Mus musculus: one gene and its partner. The protein of the gene in region 2 purifies or fractionates together with the protein of the main gene of each other region. This does not show direct contact. Links are inferred from orthologs where the notes say so. Each region holds a gene or a part of one and is shown on either strand. Other genes may lie near its edges. The genes, in order: Pak1 and Rhou.

Evidence for each region.
Region 1: the proteins of Rhou (region 2) and Pak1 purify together in Homo sapiens (co-immunoprecipitation; 5 studies listed by BioGRID and IntAct, with this or other methods). This does not show direct contact. The link is inferred for Mus musculus from reciprocal best matches to the Homo sapiens genes RHOU and PAK1.

The regions. Positions count from the first base shown.
Region 1 is NC_000073.6:97,841,759-97,845,666, reverse strand, and holds the start of Pak1 (serine/threonine-protein kinase PAK 1), read right to left. Parts: upstream 2,729-3,908; 5' UTR 2,526-2,728; intron 1-2,525. UniProt on the Homo sapiens protein: Protein kinase involved in intracellular signaling pathways downstream of integrins and receptor-type kinases that plays an important role in cytoskeleton dynamics, in cell adhesion, migration, proliferation, apoptosis, mitosis, and in vesicle-mediated transport processes.
Region 2 is NC_000074.6:123,652,614-123,656,521, forward strand, and holds the start of Rhou (rho-related GTP-binding protein RhoU), read left to right. Parts: upstream 1-1,315; 5' UTR 1,316-1,332; coding exon 1,333-1,603; intron 1,604-2,878; coding exon 2,879-2,937; intron 2,938-3,908. UniProt on the Homo sapiens protein: Binds to and activates protein kinase PAK1. Plays a role in the regulation of cell morphology, cytoskeletal organization and focal adhesion assembly during cell migration. Also stimulates quiescent cells to reenter the cell cycle.

The DNA of each region.
Region 1 (3,908 bases), on a different chromosome or scaffold from region 2:
GAGAATTTGTTTGGCCAGGGCGTAATAACCTACCACATGTAAATTTGTTTTCTATTTCATTAATATCTACATTTTATTCCCAAAGACAGAAAAAAAAAAACAAGAAAATTCTTTATATACAACATGCACCTAATGTCACAAGATAACATAGTCTAAGTAAATGTGTATCACAATTAAAGAAGACTTGAGTTTACAGTGCAGCCCTGGCACTGATTTGTTGAACCTTAGTCTTCCTCCACTACATTATCATAGCTCCCTGTGCTCCCCTCTACACTACACATGAGGGTCCACCCCTAGACCTGCATCTGAACACAGCAAATGAATCTAAATACCTCCTTTAAAAACCAACAGTACTCAGCAACCAGCACCATAACTAATATACTACAGGTGACTGAGAGAATGTTTATTTTTAAAATTACATCTATTTATACATGTGTGCGTTGGGATAGTGGTGAGACCATACCATAGCTCACATATCCAGACATCTCGTAGGAATTAGTCTCTCCTACCATATAAAACATGGGAATAGAACTCAGATCTCATCATGCTTGGTGGCAAATGTTCTCACCAACCAGAGAGAACAGTTAATGATGGATACCAAATTGATATCTTGTATGTGTGTGTGTATATATGCATACACACATGCACACACATTGCATATATTAGTTAGTGAGTGTCAATGAAACAATAACCCTGTCAGTCTCATCTCTGTTTCCCCTCTGACTCTCTCACTTTAGGACACTACGGGGCGGGAGAGGGCGGGGGGGTGGGGGGGGGGGAGAAAGATGCAGAGCAAAAATAATCCTCTTCAGAGAGCCTACCATCAGGAGGGAAAACAATGAACCTATATGGCTACACATCTTTTACATAGCCTATAAATCGTTCCCTCTACAGCTACCCTTACCCCCTAATAACCCCCATCTTGATGCCAACGCCACCCTCTTCTTCCTAAAGAACACTCTTGCCCCAAGACTCCCCCTTCTTCTCTTCATCCCACTGTGCCCCTGGAAACTGGCTATCTCCCAGCCCTCATCTCAGTGAGGGGCTCTCAGGAAGGTCTCCTAGCTAGCTGTATTTGTACTTGTTCTCCAGCTCGAGCCTTCAAGCTCCTGACTTCCTACCATGATTTTTTCCTTCTGCCCACATTCTGCCTTGGTTCTCAAGGAAAAGGATGGGGAATAAACCCAGGAAAAATAACTACTTATTAGGAAGCCTCAAAACACAGCTTGAGGGCAGTAAGGAGACAGCCTGACACATAAGGAAAACAGAGCTTAGGTCCAAAACAAGGAAGCTAGAATGTTTGGACCTTACAAACATCACAGCAAAGGTCCCTCCAAGTCAGCAACTTACTACCAATGAGAAAGCACAATAAAAGATTCTAAAAGGAAAAGAGAAGAGAGCCTAACCAAGAAGAAGAGGACCCAGGGAAGAAATGAAAAAGGAAAACAGAAAAAAGAAACCATGGTTATGGAAGGAAAAGAGACAAGAAGTGGAAAGCGTGAAGACAAGGAAAGGAAGAAAGGAAACTGGTGAGATCAGAAAACAGGTGAGGGGCAGGCAAGGAAAGCCGACCAGCAGGAAGAGGAGGAAGAAAGGAAGAGCAGGAAGGCTTCCCAGAGGGAATGCATAGCTCCTCTGTAACCAAGATGAGAAAGGTCCAAAATAATCAGCATAGGTTAGTATTTGTATTTCTTGGTGCCAGATAATAAAGGAAGGAATTACAGTGATTAAGATATTACATAGTGTCAAGGTCTGTTATTTACTTAGCAGATCAATAACAGTGCACCAGAGAAGACAGCCTAGTTTATAGCAGTGATCTAAGTATCAAAGAATTGGCCAGTTCAGGAAAAAAAATTAGCATGCGTTCACCTGTTTCTTCTCAACCCCACACCCCACACTCAACATATCTACTCTTAGCCCCAACAGAAGCATTAGCACTTTATGAAGTCACTGGTTCTAAACAGACCGGCAAGATGCATATGGAAGGCTGGCTCCTCTGTCTCTACCTAGCTCACCTTTCCAAGGTAAATTTTACAGCCTAGGAAAGGCACAGTTACAGAATGCTAAGCCCTTCTCTTCAAATAAGGAAATTAAGGCTCATAGAGACTGCCTGACCAGGAACAGCTGCAGGGGTCTCCTATCTTCACTACATCTCCAACCAGAGAACAGTATTCCGGGTCCCAGGAAAACCGCAGCTAAACCAAGGCACAGAAAAGCATCACCCTGGCCACCATGCAGAAGCATGCTTACAAAGGAGTGGGGCCCCTGAGGCATGCAGTTCCCCAAAAAATCCAGCTTCCCCTTCATAACCTTCCCTAGCCAGATGCCTTATTCCAGCACAGGCCTAGCCCTGAGGGGCTTATCTCAATGTTACACCACCAGGCCCTTTCCTTATTAAGAATCCCTTAATATAAGTGAAATGTAATGTTCTCCCCATTCCCTTCCCCGGAAGGCAGAAAGACACCCGCTCCTTCTACCCCAGCTCTCAGTCTAGCTATGCCAGGCCCAGGGAAAGCCAGCATTACCTGGCGGTGGGTCCGGGGCCCAGCATCTCTGATGATCTTGTGTATCTGTCGCAGAGCCGCACCTCTCCCTGCTCAGCAGTTGGGACAAAGCCCGGGCTGAACCAGCCTGACAGGCTGGATTCGGCTAAGCGCCGCAGCGCAGCCACCCAGCTCCCAAGGCGCAGCACACTCAGGCCCACGTAGGGCGGCAGCAAAGACACAGAGGCTTAGTGAAGGGGCGGGGAGGGAGGGAGGAACAGAGAAAGGAAGGAAAGGAGGCGGGGAGAGCGCTGCCCCCGCCCCTTTTTTTCTGAAGAGGCGCTGAGGGGCGGGAAACAAATACATAACCAATGTTCTGATTGTCTCTGCTGTTCTCCCAACCCAGGCTCCAACAAGAGGTACCAGACAGGCTTTTTAGAGCAGTAGTTCTCAACCTTCCTAACACTGCGATTCTTTAATATAGTTCCTCACATTGTGGTGACCCCCAATCATAAAATTAATTTTGTTGCTATTTCATAATTTTGTAATTCTGTAATTTTGCTACTGCTATGAATTGTAATGTAAATATCTGACATTTCCAATGGTCTTAGGTGACCCCTGTGAAAGGGTAGTTCAACAACCCCTCAAGGGATCTGGACCTATAAGCTGAGAACAGCTGTTCTAGAGCCTGTGGGAGTCCTCTTGAACCCCGGAATCAAGACCTACTCAAATTAGATTCAAGATTCATTCAGACTAGAATGGAGAGGGGGAAATTATTCTTTTCTGCTGACTCTCTAAAATGTGTCCCATGAAAGATAATAAGGTGGTCCCTATACCAACCACCTCCTTTGAACAGAGAAAGTTCAGCAACAGCTACTATTTGTTAAGGGCTATTTACTATGTGTCCCCACACTTTACAAACCTATGTCTATTTCACAGAGTTATGAAGTAGGCCCTACACCACTCTCAGAATTTCTTTAGCACTTGTCAGATACCAGTCACTACAATAGAACTTGGAGCTGGATGACACATTAAAGAAACAACTCTGGTCTTCCCCATCCCAATAAACGGTGCTTCCTTAAGACTGAAATGTTAAAAAATGTACCTTCACATATTTCCTGTACACCCAGAAGTCAGTATCTCCCATCATCACTCACTACACTCACCCAACTCATCCCTTGCCCTTGAGGCGCATGACTGGAATCAAGTTATGCAGTTATCTCTTCCAGGCCATAACTAATGAGTTTAGAGGGTTTTAATTATTTGTTATGGGGTGAGGGTAGGTGGCACATATATACCATGGTATGCATGTAGAGATCAGAGGATAACTCATGAGAATCAATTTTCTACTTCTACCACATGTGTCCTAAGGTTCAAACTTGGGTTGTCTGGCTTAGTGCCAGAAATCTTTATGCACTGAGCCAT
Region 2 (3,908 bases):
ATCTCTGTACTTCAGGTTGTCCTGGCTGTAAAATGGGTATAAGTAATGCTAATATTAAAGGAATTCGTTTTGACAGAATGGTTACAACAACATCTGGGACATAACAAAGGCTCAGTATTTAACTAGCTCTTGTCTTTTTTTTTTTAAGATTTATTTATTTTATTTATATGAATACACTGGCTGTCTTAAGACACACCACAAGAGGGCACCAGATCCCATTACAGATGGTCGTGAGTCACCATGTGGTTGCTGGGAATTGAACTCAGGACCTCTGGAAGAGCAGCCGGTGCTCTTAACCACTCTCCCTTTCTCTCGGCCCCTAGCTCTTGTCTTTACCACCAGCAAAATAATATTAATATTAACAGCACACAGCTCTTCTTACACCAGAAGCAAATCAGAAGCATTAGTGACCAGGCAGAGAAAGGGCAGCACAAAATGAACAGACAATTAGCTTTTCAGATAATACTACGGCAGCCAAAATTGCACTTAACTAAAGACTGTAAGGAAATTTGCTGGACCATGAATACACACAAGGTCACAGCATGCCAAAGAGAGGGAGCGCTAACAAAGGGTGGTATCCTGCATCCAAATGAGAATCAATGATTTTTAACAGAAAAATCATACATTTGTCTGCAATCAAACTTAAGTCCTACTCATCAGGACTGGCTATCAAGACAATAATCTCTCCTGAGGGACTGCAAAAGCAGGCAGGCCCCACAGCACTCTCCCCCTCCAAACCAAGACACTTGTGTGGAGGAGCAAGGGCAGCTGGAGGAACAGGAAGAGTGGAAGAAGCAGGGTGATCATGGTGAGAGGGAGACCGCGGAAAGGAGGTTGTGGAGTAGAAAGAGAATAGGGGGCGACCTAAGGAGGGAGAAGGAGGAGAGGGAAGAGAAAGAGCCGGGAGGGAAGGGGGAACAGAAGGATGGGGAGGAGGGGGCAGGGCAGGAGGAACTGGAGAGCAAGAGGAGGAAAGGAAGCTTGGGAAGGAGCCGGGAAAGGGGGGTGGGGGGATGAGAAGCCCACAGCAGGGGCCAGGGGTAGCTCGGGGTCCGCGTGGGTTGGCGTGGTGGAGCCAGCTAGTCCAGCCGCACCGTTTCGAGGCGCCGGCGTAGTTCACCAGCGCGGCGCGCAGACGGGGGCGCTGTGGTCTCGGATAGAAGAAGGAGCCGCCGGACCCGCCTCTTTCCCCGCCCGCCGGTGTCGCAGGGAAGCCTGGCGGAGCAGGCTCGGCCACATCGCGGCCGCGCGGGCACAGACGCCCAGCCGAGTGCGGACCGTGCGCCGCCTTTGTCCGCCGGTGGCAGCTGGTCTCGCGGCCGCCGCCCCGCGATGGCCCCGCAGCAAGGCCGGCCGGCGCTGCCCGCCCGCTGCGAGCCGCCGGCGGCGCCGCCGGTACCGCCTCGCCGAGAGCGCGGGGGGCGCGGGGCGCGCGGGCCCGGGGTGTCCGGGGGTCGGGGGCGCGCGGGCGGCGCCGAGGGACGCGGCGTCAAGTGCGTGCTGGTCGGCGACGGCGCGGTGGGCAAGACCAGCCTGGTGGTCAGCTACACCACTAACGGCTACCCCACCGAGTACATCCCTACGGCCTTCGACAACTTCTCGGGTGAGCGCCGGGCGGGGCGCGGCCTCGGGCTGGGAGGCGCGGGGCGGCGCGGGTCTCGGGGCAGCGGCTCGGCGAGGTGGCAGCGGGGTGTCCGACCGGTCTGGCTCCGGGATTCCGGAGCGAGCTGCAGCTCAGGTGGCCTTCCCACCTGCGCCCTCCGGGGCGGCTCACTTCCAGCGGATCTTCGCCTGGAGCAACCCGGATTGCTCCCGTGTGTGAGCCGGCCAGGCGCACCAAGGAGGGCTGGGGCTTGCGAGAACGTTCCTTTCTTCTGAGCCCAGCGCCTGCCTGGCCTGCGCCCCGCCTGCGCTGTCTCGGTTTCTGACGGTTGGCCCAGTCCCTCCAGCTTGGCGTTTAGTTACAGCAAGTTCTCAAGGGTGGGTGGGTTCGTGGATCACACAAAGATAACAAAAGTAAAGCAATCATTTCTCTTGATTTTTTAAAAAGTCTTTCAGGAATTTAAGAAAAAGTTACAAAAAAAAAATCACATTAAGCTAGTGTGAAAAATCTTCCTCCTAAAAAATTTACCTCCGACTTCCAGTCTCCGTGGCCAGTCTCTAATTTCAGAGACCCTATGGATAAAACAGAAGTGCATGGTGCCCCCTCCACCGCTCACTAGCATAAACATTTATAAACAACCAGAAATGCTATCAGAAGGAGACAAATTGCCTAATATAAGCTGAAACCTCCGAGTCTTTACTGGATGGGGGGTCCTTGCTCTCACCCTATCTCTGGACCCTGGGGGAAAATCTGTGTGGCTTCTCTCTGCCAGCTTTTCTTAATCCTCTTTTTGAACTGACAGAGAGAAGTGCCCATTTCCACACACGCACGGGTGATAGGCCGCCTGTGTTTGCACAAGTTCTCAAAACTGCTGGAGTTTTATGATAAACCCTGAAGCAGGGAGATTTTTTTTTCCCAAGAGAAAACAGGATTATCTATGAGGTTGTCCACTGATTTAAAAGTGCAGAGTTGGTTTCCCACCTTGTGTTGTTTCTAGGCTCTTTGAAACAAGGGTGACAGGAAAATTAATCTTCCAGGCTTGAAAGGAAAACAAGCCTTCCGGGGCACCTTCTGGAGGTCAGGGCTTTGCTGCTTCATGCTCTGTGGTGGAGGGAGCCCCCCACCTTGGAACATTTGTACACTTCCATGGGTTTCTGGGCGTAGCCAAGTCCTTAGTTCACTAAGAGAACCCAGAGCAGGAACTGCCAATCTGCTGAGAGGGTAAAAGATGTCCTGATAATCATCTTGCTCTTTTTTTTTTTTCTTTCTCCCAAGCCGTGGTGTCTGTAGATGGGCGGCCTGTGAGACTCCAGCTCTGTGACACTGCAGGACAGGTCGGTATCAAGTTACACAGCTCAGGCACTGGGAAAGGAAACAGCCTTTTAAAGGTTTCCAAACAACCTTTGCAGTTTCCAAATGATTCCCTTAGTAACTGGGTCATTGTGAAACTCGCCGAAGCAGGCCCACCCCTGCTTCATCTCCTTTGAGGGCAGTGGGAGGAGGCCAAGAAGGACACCTCGGGGCCAGTGAAACAGGGTCGGCCTGTTCTGGGAAGGAGCTGGGGAGGCAGCCATCGCTGCGGGAACTGCCCCTTATCTTCATAGGACTTTCGGGTACCTCTCATGGCCTAGCTTAGGCTACAAAAGAAAAACCACAGGAATGGTTTGTAAGCGTTTCTCAGAGGAAGCCCCTCATGTCCTATAATCCATTGATTCAAGGCTAATGAACCTGAGACTTAAACGCTTGTTCAAGGAAAAAAAAGAAAAAAAAAAAAACCAGTAGCTTATGTTAACAAATGTCTTTCCCTGCTCTAGAGCAGTGGTCAGAGTCACCATAAATGGAGCAGGGAAAGGCAGGGCCACTCTGTTTGGTCATTCTTGTCTCGGGGGCAAAACACTAGAAAAGGAAGCCAGGCAGGAGGCATAGGTGTAGGACCCCCTGAGTGCCCCACAGAAGGGTTAAAGCTGCCCTAGAAGCTGTTCTAGCCACTGAGGTCCTAAGTACTCAGGTGCCCAGGTGACAGCAAACTCTGCTCTCCCAATGTCTGGAGCTGACAGGGTACAGTGGGGATAAGTAACCCCTTTGCTTCCCTGACTGTCCGTGCTAAGGAAAAAGCTGGCCTTCCTGTGTCTCCAGATCTCATCCAAGCCAGGGCCTTTAGCTAACTCATTACTGTAAGACAGCAAACTTGGGACTCGGGACTGGCTTATTCTTGAGACCTTGAGGAGACAGAAGACAAGGCTGTCTTAATGGACTGCTGGGAAAGCTGTTTGGCACCTTTGCTATGAGTGGGGGAAAGCCAACG